Pelodiscus sinensis: one gene and its partner. The protein of the gene in region 1 interacts with the protein of each later gene in a pairwise test. Links are inferred from orthologs where the notes say so. Each region holds a gene or a part of one and is shown in the gene's direction. Other genes may lie near its edges.

Evidence for each region. The genes of interacting proteins can lie anywhere in the genome.
Region 2: the proteins of TMPO (region 1) and LMNB2 interact in a two-hybrid assay, tested with the Homo sapiens proteins (2 studies listed by BioGRID, with this or other methods). The link is inferred for Pelodiscus sinensis from reciprocal best matches to the Homo sapiens genes TMPO and LMNB2.

The regions. Positions count from the first base shown.
Region 1 is NC_134711.1:83,218,947-83,225,985, forward strand, and holds the start of TMPO (thymopoietin), read left to right. Parts: upstream 1-4,039; 5' UTR 4,040-4,432; coding exon 4,433-4,672; intron 4,673-7,039. UniProt on the Homo sapiens protein: May help direct the assembly of the nuclear lamina and thereby help maintain the structural organization of the nuclear envelope. Possible receptor for attachment of lamin filaments to the inner nuclear membrane.
Region 2 is NC_134729.1:26,162,622-26,170,629, reverse strand, and holds the start of LMNB2 (lamin-B2), read left to right. Parts: upstream 1-4,992; 5' UTR 4,993-5,067; coding exon 5,068-5,265; intron 5,266-8,008. UniProt on the Homo sapiens protein: Lamins are intermediate filament proteins that assemble into a filamentous meshwork, and which constitute the major components of the nuclear lamina, a fibrous layer on the nucleoplasmic side of the inner nuclear membrane.

The DNA.
Region 1 (7,039 bases):
GACTTCTTTATATGAGGAAGTTTTACAGGCATGCATTAGAATGTGATTTAAAGTTCTATAGTTACTTGTATAATTCCCCATGTGAACATTCTTACTGTGGTAGATGAGTGCTTTTTTCTAGCTTAGCCTATATTGCCTTGGAAGCAGTTTAAGCTAACCAAAAAAGCCACTCATCCCAGAATAAAGGGCACCACAACAGCCTATAAGTTTTTCCTTTGAGACAGGTATTCCATCTCTCCAATTGACAATACCTATGTCAAGAAAGGGATTTTTCTATTAGTCTTGATGTGTCTACATGGGAGACTAAGTTGACTGAATGATGTATAAAGGCCAATCTAAATGTTAAGTGTAAACCAGAGATGACTCCCCAGTATAACTACAGTGGTTTAACCATACAGTCTACACTAAAAAAGCTGATAAAAATAACAAGATTACTCAGGGGTGTAAAAAGTCTGTGTTTTTGTTGACATAGGTACCCTCACTGGGTGTTTCTGTACATATGGGGGAGGGAATTCTTTTGGTGTAGGCTGCATCTATGCTGCAGGTAATGCCAATGTAGCTACATTAATATAGCTATGCTGGTATAACTTAGCCTCGAGAGCCTATGGTTGGGGTAATCTTTAAATTGTAAACTGAGTGTAAACCAATGCTATGATGTCTATGCCTACACTAAACCTGCAGCTGACTATAGAGATATGAACATCAATGCACATCAAAGTGTTGCACTGTAACTCCCCGTGTGAAAGCCAGTGGGCAATAATGTAGTTATGCTCATCCTCATGGAGTAGATACAGTGTAGCACTTCGGTGCTCACTGCTGTCTACAGCCCTGAGGCCACTTTCCCCTGGCCCCAGCCCTGGAGCCCCTGATACTGTGGCTGATATGATTAGGTGAAGCAAAATGCAGGACAATGTAGCACTTTAAAGACTAACAAAATGGTTTATTAGATGATGAGCTTTCGTGGGCCGGACCCACTTCCTCAGATCAAATAGTGGAAGAAAATAGTCACAACCATATATACCAAAGGATACAATTAAAAAATGAACACATATGAAAAGGACAAATCACATTTCAGAACAGGAGGGGGATACAGGGGGGGAAGGAAGGTAAGTGTCTGTGAATTGATGATATTAGAGGTGGGGAGAGTGGGATGTCTGTGAACTAATGGTATTAGAGGTGATAATTGGGGAAGCTATCTTGGTAATGGGTAAGATAGTTTGAGCATTTGTTCATTTCTTCCCGGAGAGTGTTGAATTTTAACATGAATGACAGTTCAGAGGATTCCCTTTCAAGTGCAGATGTAAAAGGTCTTTGTAGCAGAATGCAGGTGGTTAAGTCATTGAGAGAGTGTCCTTTCTGGTTGAAATGGCAAGAAACTGTTATTTCTTTGTGATCTTGTCTGATATCTGTTTTGTGGGCATTAATCCTTTGGCGAAGTGTCTGAGATGTTTGTCCAATGTACATAGCAGACTGACACTTTCGGCACATGATAGCATAAATTATATTTCTGGATGCGCAGGAATATGTGTTCTTGATTCTTGGTAAGAATCATCTTGAGGTTAGGTGGTTGTCTATAGGAGACTATGGGTCTGTCTCCCAGAGCCTCTTGGAGTATGGTATCCTGTTCCAGTATAGGCTGTAGTTTATTGATAATGTGTTGGACAGGTTTAAGTTGGGGGTTGTAGATGATGACAAGATTAATCTGATATGATTAGGGTCTGTCATGGTGTCACTTGAGTAGATATGCAGACAGAGCTGGCAACAGGGTTTGTTGCAGAGTTTGGTTCCGGATTCATTTCTAAATATATAGTAAAATATCTGTACCGTAAAAAAGATAAAAGAAAGAACATTTTTCAATTCACTTTATAAAGTACTGTAGTCCAATCTCTTTATCGTGAAAGTGCAATTTATAACTGTAATTTTTTAAACTGCGCTCAAAAATAAAACAACATAAAACTTGAGAGCATTTAAATGAGAAGCATTAGCATTATCTCCTCTAAACTTAAACAGATGTTTGACTTAGCAATTGGCTGAACAAGAAGTAGAACTGAAGGGACTTGTAAGCTCTAAGTTTTACATTGTTTTGGTTTTGATTGAAACCAATTATTTTAAAAGTAAAAATTCTACCTTTATAGGTGTACTTTGATGACGAAAAGATTGCACTACAGTACTTAGAGGAAAATTGAAAGGTATTATTTATCTTTTTAACGTGCAAAAATTTGCAATAAAAATAATATAAAGTGAACAATGTACACTCTGTATTTTGTGTTGTTAATGAAATCAAAATATTAGAAAATGTAGAAAAGCATCCAAATATTTATAATAAATTTAAACTGGTATTCCATTAATGTTTAACAGTATGATTAAAACTGTGATTAATCACAACTGTTTAATATCTTGCTATGGTGATTTTAAATCCTTTGATAGCCCTAATATTTAGATTCAAATAAAAATAGTTGTCTTTGTTTTTTTAAGAAATGCATAAAATATTCTATTAATACAAATTGGTTATTTATTTCCAGGCTATTTGACTTCATTATTAGTGCCAGAGCCATATATAGGACCTTTTACAAATGTGAGAAAGCAAGTTCATTGCCCCAAGGACCTTGCACAATCAATGGTTTCAGTCATAAGAACATAAGAATGACTATACTGGGTCAGACCAAAGGTCCACATATCCCAGAATCCTGTCTTCCAACAGTGACCAATGCCAGATACCCCAGGAGTGAACAGAACAGGGAATCATCAAATGACCCCTCCACTTGACATCCATTTCCAGCCTCTGACAAACACCATTTCTACCCATCTAGGCTAATAGCCACTGATGGACCTAACTTCCACGAATTTATCAGTTCTTTTTTGAACCCTTCTATCGTCCTGGTCTTCACAATATCCTCTGGCAAGGAGTTCCACAGGTTGTCAGTGTGTTGCATGAAGAAAAACTTCCTTTTGTTTGTTTTAAACCTGCTACTGATTAATCTCATTTGGTGACCCCTAGTTCCTGTTTTGGGAAGAAGTAAATAATGTTTCCTTATTCACTTCTTCCATATCATTTATATTATAGACCTCTATCATATCCCCCCTTTAATCTCCTCTTTTCTAAAATGAAAAGCCCCAGTCTTTTAAATCTTTCTTCATATGGGACTCATTCCAAACCATTTCTGAACCTTTTCCACTATCAATTTTTTTTTAAATGAGGCGACCGCTTCTGTACACAGTATTCAAGATATGGGCTTGCCATAGTTTTATACAGAGGCAATAAGCTATTCTGTTTTATTCTCTATCACTTTTTATTGATTCCTAAGATTTTGTTTGCTTTTTTGACTGCTTCTGCACATTGAGTGGATATGTTCAGAGAACTAGCCACAATGACTCCAAGGTCTCCCTCTGGAGTAGTTATAACTAAATTAGTCCCCATCATTTTGTATGTATAGCTCGGACTATTTTTCTAATGCACATTATTTTACATTTATCAACATTAAATTTCGTTTGCCACTGTGTTGCCCAAACACTTAGTTTAGTTCTGCAATCTGTTCCTCATAGGCACGTTCCTTCACTCCTGAAGAAGCTGTGGCATCGGCACTCAAGGGCAATGCAACGTCCCTTTAAAAACTGCAATACAGTAAAGCGATTTATTTCATTTTTATGTAGCACTCGCAGCTTTTAATAGCAAAAGCAACTTCTTGGCTGGAGTCCATTTCCTCCGCCCGGTCAGTGCCCAGGTCAAGGCTGGGGAAGGCCAGGTCCGCGTGCGAGGAGGAGGCACATCCCCAAGCCTCCCACTGAACGTGCCTGTTGTGACAACCATGGGACACGCGGTGCTCCGATCACGCCTCTGGGGCTGGCCGCCGCTGGAACCGTCCCCACGCCACCAATGGAGCCTTCGCGCCGGGCTCCAGGAAGCTCTGACACGTCTCCCTGAAACAGCGGGCAGCAAACCCCGCGGTGCCCCTGCCAGAGCGCGGCTGGAGGGGAGTCGGGCACTTCCTCCCCAGGCAGCGGTGTCGCCCCGGCCCTTCTCCAGCAGCAAAGGCCTCGACCTCCTCTGGGCGGGGAGGGCTCATGTGGCGCCAATGAGGAGACGTCAGAGGCGGGAGGGGGAGCTTGTGCCGTGCTCGCCGGCGGGGGGCGGGAGGCAGCAGCACGCCAGCCCCTCTCCCGCCTGAGCTGAATTTAAACTGCGTTACTACTCCTCGCGCAAAGCACTAATGTTGGTGAAACCCTCGCGCCGCTCCCCCACTCGCCCCCGCAGCCAATAGCAGCACCACTTCGTGAGTCGCCCGGCCAATCCGGACGCGCTTTACTGGAGGTCGGGCGAAGCCCTCGCCGAGCGCGCCGCGAGTGGGGTTCATCGCGCTGGGCAGGGGAGGCGATTTCCCATCCCCTCCCCCCTTTGTTGGTGTCTGTCCCGGGAGAGCGGCAGAGGCCGGCGATGCCCGAGTTCCTGGCGGACCCGTCGGTGCTGACCAAGGAGAAGCTGAAGAGCGAGCTGATCGCCAACAATGTGAGCCTGCCGGGCGGCGAGCAGCGCAAGGACGTGTACGTGCAGCTCTACCTGCAGCACCTCACCGCCCGCAACGCGCCCGCCGCGCCCGACTTCTCCAGCGACGAGGAGAGGGAGCCCACCCCGCTCGGTCCCAGGGGCAGAGGAGGAGGCGGCACCCCCGGCCGGGTAAGAGTCCGCCCCCCCCTGCCGCTCGGAGAGCTTAGCGCTGCCACACAAAGGGCTCTGGCGGCCCCTGCCTGCCGCCCGCGCTCCCGCCCCTTTACCCTTCCCGCGCATGTAGACCCGCCCCTGGGGAGCGGGCTGCTGGCGGCGTGCGCCGCTTCCCGCTCTCCGAGGTGCGGGGCGCGCCCTGGCGGCCGCGGCCTGTCTGCGGAGCTTGAACTAGGGTTAGGGGAGAGCGCGGTGCCTTCCTCGCAGCCCAGAGTTTTCGGCGCCTGCGGCCCCCGCGAGCCAAGAGCGGCTCTCAGTGGCCGGTATGAGCTTCTCGGTACAGACCTCTTCCCCGAGGGTCTCCAGCGTGCGGGGTGCGCTGCGGCGGCAGCCGGGGCTGTTCCCTGCCTGTGCTCAAGGAGAGGGGCAGTTTGCCGGAGGGATTTCCTTTCTTTACTTCAAGCTAGGGCGTACTTTGTCGTGTGAGGCTCAGGAGCTCGCTGAATGCCGACCGCTAGCGCTAGGATATCTGCGGGTGTAATGTTCGGCTTTGCTGGAAGACAGGTCTTGTTCCTGCTTCTGTACACTTTAGTAATGAAGTTGCTGGGCGGGAAGTTCTTTAGTGGATGCTTATTTATAGTATGCAAAATAAAATAATATGGTAACTGCAACGATTGTGTTTGTAGCATGTTAGGTTCTTACGTTGTAACTCGGATTGGAGAGAGGTGTTGCTGTTTGTGTGTAAAATATTTTATAAAGAAAGACCAAGTTTTAGACCAGCTTTCCCATGTCTGAAAGTCCAGAAACTTAAACTTCATTAAAGGAAGAGATCCCAGGCTTCTATCCACAGGATTGTCTTTGTGATCTAAACTTACTTACTCTCCCCTATAGAGTTGCCCACTTGCCTACAGTTACATGTGTTCCTGCTTCCAAGAAGCATAAATGCAGTATCTGACATGATTTAATGTGAGTTAACAAATAATCAGACAGTTGGCAGAAGACAAGGGAAATATCAAGAAGATAATTAAGCTCCAGTGTATGCCATCACTAAGGTTATGGTTTTTTCAGTAAGCTAGATGTGAAACTATTCTACTTGTTCAAGTTAGCCCCAAACAAGGTTTGTTTAGTCCAGTGAGCATCCATGTGTCTCTCTTGAGACTGGATAAGTCTATTGTATGTTTTAGAACAGTGATACTAGCACTTGCATATTTTATATAAAGTGACTAAGCCATATCTTGTGGCATTGATACTTAAGTGCTTAGTAACTGGTAAAGCATGCTAATCTTTCCTTGTGATGGAGTGAAGAGCTATTTAAGCAATAGCTGTGGGTGCTCTGCTAATCAGATGAAGTGCATTTGAATCTCCTGAATGCCTGCACAGCTTATAAGGAACACTGAAATAGTATCCTGCTGTTGCGGGTTCATCATGGTGATGACTGAAATACTACTTGTTTAGATATAAATCATTGTAATTTGAAATCCAAAATAAATTGTTGTAATTTAATAATATTGCTTAAAAATTAGCATCTTGGGTCCATTCAGCTTTACTAAAATTTGCAGAATATAGTCCCAATATCTGTTCAATAACTTGAGCTCTGTGTATCTGTGAGGGGCAGACTACATAGAAGCCTTCTCTGCTGTACTCCCATGTTCAAACTTCCCTACAAGTTTTCAGTTTTAGTTAACATAGTGAGTTCCTGGATCTGTACAAATGCTACTGATTCAGGAGTTGCTCTCAAGGGTTTAGATTTGTGTACGATGAGTCAGGTGTACCTAAAGGTGAAAGGCAACAAACTTAAATGTAGAAAAAAAGAGAACTGTTAAGTAATAGTGGCTGGTTTGAGCTACAGTTACTTTTTTTAATGTGCAAAGGAATTAAAATATCAAATTGTGAATATAGCTAATTTTTCAGTGATCTCATATACATGCCTTCCTCCACAACCCTTTTCCCTCATACTGTTGCTGCTTGTTTCAAATTAATCTTGGTGTTCATGGTAAGGACTTTTTTATTTCTGACAGGTATAGAAGCACCACCTACCTGTTAAGGTTCAGCATTACCCATTATACTACCCTTTTGTCATTTGCTTATAACTCTGCTGCACTTTTTCATGCTGGCTGGCTGCCTCAGGCTAAGAGGAGGTGGTCTTCTGTGTTCTCAGTGAGCCTCCCCTAATTTCTAGGCTCAGGTGGTTTGGTAGGAAAATTTGTGTGATTCTAATAAAACGAGGACCAGACACAGGCCTACTCAAGAGCTGGGAGTGGGAATAGGTTGCCTGAGACAACCTGGAAGATTTGAGAAAAGATTGGGACTGGGAAACCATTGGGATGGAGGTTAGAGTTCCGCAAAGAGCCAGGGTATTGGGTGGGAGAGACTGAGGAAAGA
Region 2 (8,008 bases), on another chromosome or scaffold:
ACCCCTCCCCCCAGGTCTCCCGGGGAGGGGGGAGAAGTTTTTTTTTGTCCGGTCTTTTTTTTTAAACCATCTGGCAACCCTACTCGGAAGAATAACGGCCGCCCCCGCTGCCTCTGAGCGGCAGCGCCCCCACTCGCAAGCCTGGAGTCTGTGCATCAGAAAGGACAGCTTTGATGAACAGGAACCCAGCGTTAACGCTGGAGAGCGCCCCCACAAGGATCCGAAAGTGTGCAAGTGAGGAGTAACCACGTGCCCCACTGTGTCTTGGACAGCGGCCCTCGCCTTCGTTTCCCGCGGGCAGGGGCTGCTCCAGTCCGGCCGGCCCCCTGTGCCACAGGTGGGGGGTGTGTTAAGTATTTAACCGGTTAAAGGATTAAATGCGATTTTCCTCCCCTATTCCACCTTGACTATCTGAAATCAGAGACGTACCAGGGAAGGTGTTTATAGGGGTTCCACATCCAGGGATGTCCCAAGGGGGGCGCAGGGCCTAGGGCAACCCTCCTACCGCCTAAGCCTGTCTCTGCTCCACCCCTTTGCTCCCTCCCCTGAGCAACGCGAGCTGGGGGATTACCTGTGGGCCTGGTGCAGGGGTGCCCCCCTCTACACTTGCCCAAGGGGGGAGCTGGAGTGGCCCGGCAGCCTTCCCCCGCCGCCTGGAGTGTTTCACATGACTTTGCATGCTGTCTTTTTTTATTGTGGTTGTGTCTCTTGTTTTCTTGATTGTGGGTTTTATTTTCAGACTTGTTTGTAAATATCGCTTTTCACATCAGCTGATTTGTTAGCTACCTGGAAGGCCATCAAAAGTGACATTAACAAATGTACAAATATCTCTGAGGAGGAGCCGTGTTAATCTGTAACTTTAGAAACAAGGAGCAGTCCTGTGGCACCTTAGAGACAAAGTCATATATAGATAGATAGTATCATGAGCTTTGTGGGCACGATCCACTTCCTCAGATGAGCAGCAGGGAGATGAGCAGGAAATGGGTTTTGCCCTCGAAAGCTCATGATACTATATATATATATATATATATATATATATATATATATATATTATTGAATCATACAATACTAGATCTGGAAGGGACCTCAAGAAGTCATCGAGTCCAGTCCCCTGCCCTCATGGCAGGACCGGGCACCAGCTAGATCAGGGCTACTCAACTTTGAAAGCCCCAGGGGGCCACAATGATACTCGCAGCACGTGCTGAGGGCCGCAACTTAAGTGTGGTTGCATATATATACAAATATATTCAAATAGCTTTTTTCACACTAATGGCATGAATACAAAGATTAAGGCAAGATTACACAACATGCTGGCCCCATTTAAGTCAGTTCTGCTGATACTGATGAAATGCAATATTTACCCAATTTCCACCCATATGACAGCACTTTTAATGAGCAATGACAGTCCAGGAATGTAACTACTAAAACACGCATCAACAGAAGACCATTGTATTGACTACTTTTTTGATTTGGCTCCTACCTGCAGGCCACATGTTAAGTCCCATGTAAACCCAAACCTCACTTCAGGCTGCAAACAGACAGGCTGCGGGCCGCATGTCGAGTAGCTCTGATCTAAACTATCCCTGATAGATGTCTATCTAACTTGCTCTTAAATATCTCCAGTGATGGAGATTCTACAAGCTCCCTAGACAATTTATTCCACCCTGTACAGCTAGGAAGTTTTTCCTGATGTCCAACCTAACCCCCCCCCCCCCCATTGCTGCAATTTAAGCCCATTGTTTCTTGTCATATCCTCAGAGGCCAAGGAGAACAGTTTTTCCCCCTCCTCCCTGACACACCCTTTTAGATACCTGAAAACTGCTATCATGTCCCTTCTCTGTCTTCTCTTTTCTAAACTCAACAAGCCCAATTCTTTCAGCCTTCCCTCATCGCTCATGTTTTCTAGACCTTTAATCATTTTTGTTTCTCTTCTCTGGACCTTCTACAGTTTCTCCACATCTTTCTTGAAATGTGGTGTTCAGAACTGGACACAATACTCCAACAGAGGCCTAATCAGTGTAGAATAGAGCAGAAGAATGAGTTCTCGTGTCTTGCTCACTGCACTCCTGTTAATGCAGCCCAGAATCATGGTTGGTTTTTTGTTTTTTTTTGCAACAGTGACACATTGTTGATTCATATTTAGCTTGTGGTCCACTATGACCCCTAGATCCGTTTCTGCTGTACTCCTCCCTAGGCAGTTGCTTCTCATTCTGCATGTGTGAAACTAATTGTTCCTTCCTAAGTAGAGCACTTTGCATTTGTTCTTATTAAACTTCATCCTATTTACCTCAGACCATTTCTCCAGTTTGTCCAGATCATTTTGAATTATGACTCTGTCCTCCAAAGCAGTTGCAACCCCTCCCAGCTTCATATCATCTGCAAACTTAGTAAGCATACTGTCTATATCAATATCTAAATACAGGCCATCCTCACTATAAGTCTAAGATACGTTCCAAAAAGCTTGGACTTATAGCGAAACAACTTAAAGCAGGGAGTTTTTTCCCCGTGGCTGACTTCCATTTAAGCAAATTGGGGGGAGTGTTTCACATGGCTTATAGCGGGGAATGGGAGGGCTTATAACACATCAGTTCCTACAAACATCAACAACTTTAGTGTGGAATGGATGATGTATACTGGGGCGACTTATAGTGGGGACGCCCTGTAATTGATGAAGATATTGAACAGAACCGGTCCCAGAACAGACCCCTTCAGAACCCCACTTGTTATGTGCTTCCAGCATGATTGTGAACCATTATGCACACACCTTACAGTAGCCCCATCTAAGTGATATTTCCCTGGTTTATTGATAAGATCATGCGAGACCATATCAAATGCTTTACTAAAGTCTAAGGTATACCACGTCCACCGCTTCCTCCTTATCCACAAGGCTTGTTATCCTATCAAAGAAAGCTATCAGATTGGTTTGATATGATTTGTTCTTTACAAATCCCTGCTGACTGTTACCTATCACCTTATTATCTTCCAGAAGTTTTCGGATGAATTCCTTAATTACTTGGTCCATTATCTTCCCTGGCACAGAAGTTAAATTGTGTGTTAGTCTCTAAGGTGCCACAGGACTATTTGTTGTTTTTAAATTTACAAATATCACTTTTCACAGCAGACTTGCTCAGTCCTTGCAAAGTGGGGGACAAATTAAGCCTTGGATGGGGAGGTGGGTAGTGAGGCAGTGGGGGCTGGCTGGATGGGTAAAGGGCTGGGGGCAGCAGTGGGGCAATGAAGGGGCTGATGAGCCTGAAGCCTTATGGCTGAGGGATGGAGCCCACGGTTGCATGAGTCTGAAGTCCCAAGTCTGTAGCCAGAGCCTTCCGCCACACGGCCAGAGTCTGATGCCTGCCACCACAGAGCAGAAGCCAGAGCTCCACTGTCCTTGGGAAAGTGGGGAACTCACTGGCTGCCTGCCCCTTCAGGGCTTGTGGCTCCAGGGGAGGGCAGAGTCCAACTGCTTCTTGCAGACACTGGGAAAGACCCGCTTCTCTGTTCCCATCCCCCACTCACCAACCAGGAAGCTTTGGCCACAAGAAAAGCTCTTGGTTGCTGCATGTGGCCACGGTGGCTGCTTTTGAGAAACATCTGAGACCCGAGTGCAACTCCCTGCTTCGCCGCAGACTTCCTGTGTGACATTGGGTGAGTCATGTAGCATCACTGTGTTTCAGAGCACTGCACTTCTCCACCTGGGTGTTGTGAGGATAACCATGTTTGAGACTATGAGCTGCACAGATACACAGTGAGGGGGACAGCTACGTACAGCTAAGGGTCAGTAGATATTACATTGGGCAAAAACTACCCTAAAAGAATAGTGATAGAAATGTAGCCGTGTTAGTCTGGTGTATATGAAACAAAAAACAGGACGATGTACCACTTTAAAGACTAACAAGATGGTTTATTAGGCAATGAGCTTTTGTGGGCCAGACCCACTTCCTCAGATCAAATAGTGGAAGAAAATTGGCACAGCCGTATATACCAAAGGATACAATTAAAAAAAATGAACACATATGAAAAGGACAAATCAAATTTCAGAACAGAAAGGGGATGGGGGGGGGGGGGGAAATGTCTGTGAGCTAATGATATTAGAGGTGATAATTGGGTAAGGTATCTTTGTAATGGGTAAGGTAATTAATGTATTTGTTAAGACCTAGGTGTAAAGTGTCAATTTAAGCATGAATGATAGTTCAGAAGATTCTCTTTCAAGTCTGGTGTTAAAATGTCTTTGAAGCAGGATGCAGGTAATCAAGTCATTGATTAAAAGAATGTTAGACTTGCACTGTCAGGCACGAATTTTTAAATGCACAAACTGAAAAACACAGAAATTTCACCATCTCATTCCATCAGTCACATTGATTCCCAGAAAGGATGCTACCGAGGTTGGAAATGTTAGATTTACAGCACAGATCTCAATCCCTTGAGCTCACTGAGGTTAGGTCTACCCAGCAGGCAGGAGCTGAAATAAGCCACGCAACTTCAGCTACATCAACTGCGCAGTTGAGTCCAAATAGCTTAATTGGGATTTTGGTGCAGTCTACACAGCAGGCTGTCAAAGTAGGAACCCTCTTCCCTCGACTTCTTTTTCTCCTTGTAAAATGAGGGGTAGAAGGAGGAAGTCCTCCAGTTCGATGTTGTTTCGATATAACGGCTGTGCAGACGGGCCCTGAGGAACTAGCAGCTGCAGTAGGTTGTTGTCCTCTTTGTGGACAGGAATGTAGGTCGGGGGGGGGGGCAGCCAGGCTGGCCTAGCTGGGGGGCATTGAGTGGGGGGGAGCTGGGCAGGTGCTGAGCCAGGAGGCTGAGCGGTGGCCTGGGCCTGGGGCAGCCCAGGGCGCCATGAAATCGGGGGCAGGCTGGGGCCTGGGGATACAAAATGGAGGCGAGCGCGGACTACAGCCCCCAGCATGCCCTGCGGCGGGGCTGCCCGCCATCTTCGGCTCCGCCTGCGCGGCGACTCCATTTCCCAGCGGGCGCCGCGCGCGCGCCCAGGAGGCGGCGCCCCCGCCATCTTGCCGCGCCCTCCCTGCCGCGCGCGGTGCGGCCGGATTGAATGAGCCCGCCGCCATGTCGGGCACCCCGAGCCGCGCCGCCGGCGGGACCCCGCTCTCGCCCGCCCGCCTCTCGCGCCTGCAGGAGAAGGAGGAGCTGCGGCAGCTCAACGACCGCCTGGCGCACTACATCGACCGCGTGCGCGCGCTGGAGCTCGAGAACGACCGGCTGCTGCTCAAGATCTCCGAGAAGGAGGAGGTCACCACCCGCGAGGTAGCGCCGCGCCAGGGGGGCGGGGCGGTCCGGGGGGTCCCCCCAGTGAGTGGGTAGAGGGGGGGCGGTCCAGGGGGTCCCCCCAGTGGGTGCCGGTGGGTAGAGGGGCGGGGCGGTCCAGGGGGTCCCCCCAGTGGGTGCCGGGGGGGCAGAGAGGGGCGGGGCGGTCCAGGGGGTCCCCCCAGTGGGTGCCGAGGGGTAGAGAGGGGCGGGGCGGTCCATGGGGGGGTCCCCCCAGTGGGTGCCGAGGGGTAGAGAGGGGCGGGGCGGTCCATGGGGGGTCCCCCCAGTGGGTGCCGAGGGGTAGAGAGGGGCGGGGTGGTGCATGGGGGTCCCCCCAGTAGGGGAGGGGAGGGCTGGGGCAAGGCTGCTTGTTGGGGAACCTTGCAAAGCGGCCACTGGGCCGGTAGCACTTGCCCGAGCAGAGATGGGGCCGTGCGGGCAAAACCCCCATCCGAGTCCCCGAGCTCTGGATGCTCAGAACGAAAATAAATGGGGGGGGGGGGGGAGAAGGGGCAAAGGGGGGGATGGACCAGAAGAGCCAGTGGGTATGAAAATACCAAGGGGAAAGCCGAGCTGGAATGTAACGGGGAAAACAAACAGTCTCCAAGCACCTATGGACCGGACAGTCGAAAGGCCAGCTCGGGGCTCCTGTGCCGTGTGTCCACTGAGCTCATCAGCGAGCTAGAAGGAAGGACCTTCGGGGTCTTTCGAACACTTGATGGCAAATTACAGCTGTCAGGATTTGGGCTCTCGTTGTTCATGGACATGTGAGTGATCTCCCTAGGGAAGATGTTTGTTTGCAGAAGCGTCCCTAGAGCTGCTTGTCCGAGGTGCTGGGGTATGGTGATAATAGGTGTAAATACAAGAACCTAGCTAGATGGGTGAAGAATTGCAAAGTAATTTTGAGTGTGTACCTAGGTATTAGTGTGGTATAATCATTAATACTTCGAGGAAAAGTGTGTATGTTTTAATACCCAGGTCAGATGCACGTCTGAAGTGGCTGGGTTTGTTCATCTTTACCATAGTTACTTCTGAATTCTGTCACTTGTTCTTACATAAGGTGATCTTGGCAGTTAATGCTTGTCAGCTAATGCTTGTCAGTTGCTCCCATTTTTGTGGATTTAGGTAATCCCACTAAGAAATCAATCTCATAGATATAGACCAGTGCTCACTATCCAGTAGATCAGTATCTACTGGTACTACTTGGAACCTTTGACAGGTGATCCTGACAAGTTTGTCTGGGAGGCTATCAGAAGTGCTGGCACTTCAGCTGCCCCTCTCAGCACTGCTGTGCTGCTCCTGCCCTCTACCTTGGAGATATCCCCCACCTCCTGCTTGTTGTGCAGGGCACGGGAAGAGGAAGGTTTTTTTTTCTGATGTCAGGGTGCTCCTCTCTGTACCCCATCTCCACAAAGCAGAGAAGGGCAGGGATGTAGAGAGTTTGTTGGCTGCTTTTGGGAGTGGTGCAGGACCAAGGCTGGGGTGAGCCTGTCTTAGCCTCCTGCACAACCACCCAGAAGCCACCTGTGGTAAGTGGTGCCCAGCTGGAGCCTGCATTCCAAGCCCTGGCCTCAGTCCGGAATCCCTCCTGCACCCCAAACCGCTTCCCCCAGCCTGAAAAAAGTGAGTAAAGATGGAGGAGGGAGTGAGCAGGGGCAGGGCCTTGGAGAAAGGGTGGGAAGGAGGGTGGGGCAAGGGTGTTTGGGTTTGAGAGAGATCCTGGATTGCACTTAAATTCAAAAAGTGATCTCATGCTTAAAAAGGTTGGAGCCACTGATATAGACATACTGTTTTGCTGTAATTAACTTCCAAGGTGGCCTTCATTGTACATCATTGTGTTTTCATGTTGCATTCGGAATGACAGGAAAATACTGTTTGCCTGTCAAGGAGTACTTAACTTTTTTTTTTTTTTTTTTTTTTTGCAAAGGAGCAAATCACATTTAGGGTAAATGAATACACGTGAATGGCTTTTGAAAGGAGCTGAGTATTGGACTTTATAGTTAGTCACATATTTACTTTGCTGTACAATGTAGTTTGGATATGCAATAGTTTGGAAGGATGCATTTTAGTATATTTGGGTGGCATGCAGGTTAAATGACACTTGAACGAGGATAGATATTTTACCTGCTATTGTACATGCATAGAACCCACATTGTAACAGTACTAAGAAATAAAAATGTTTAAACTTTTGTGAGAGGCTGTCAACACAGGTATTGATGCCAAGAATGACTAAAGGACTTGGTCTCTTAAAACTCCTTTTTTTTCCTTCTTTATTTTAATGCTTGGTATTGACTTGTGGAAAAATGAGATTGTTCCTGGATTAATGTAGTAAGTTATGTATGAGGAGAATTTTGTTTGAATAGCAAGTCTACTGAAGAACTAAACTAAGTTCAAGAACTCTATTGTTTTGTTTACTGTTGTGCAAAAAGGTTAGTTTCATAGTACTAGTAATCGTGTAACACGTATTTTGAACCAGTTATAGGTGTTTATAAATATTAAACTTCTGTAGTGTACCTTTTCCTGCTTAGAATAATGCATTCGAAATACATTCATCGTATTTAATAGGAAGTCCTGAAGGGAAACATTTTTCAGTGCTTGGATGTATTTTAAGGCTTTTCACCTCTTGAAGACTGGTGAATAGTCATTGTTCGAGTAGTAAAGAGGCAGTTTTTTTTCTTTTACAGTCTTGCAGTAATTCCATATGCAGTATTTTGACACCTGCTGATGCTCCCCCAAGCTT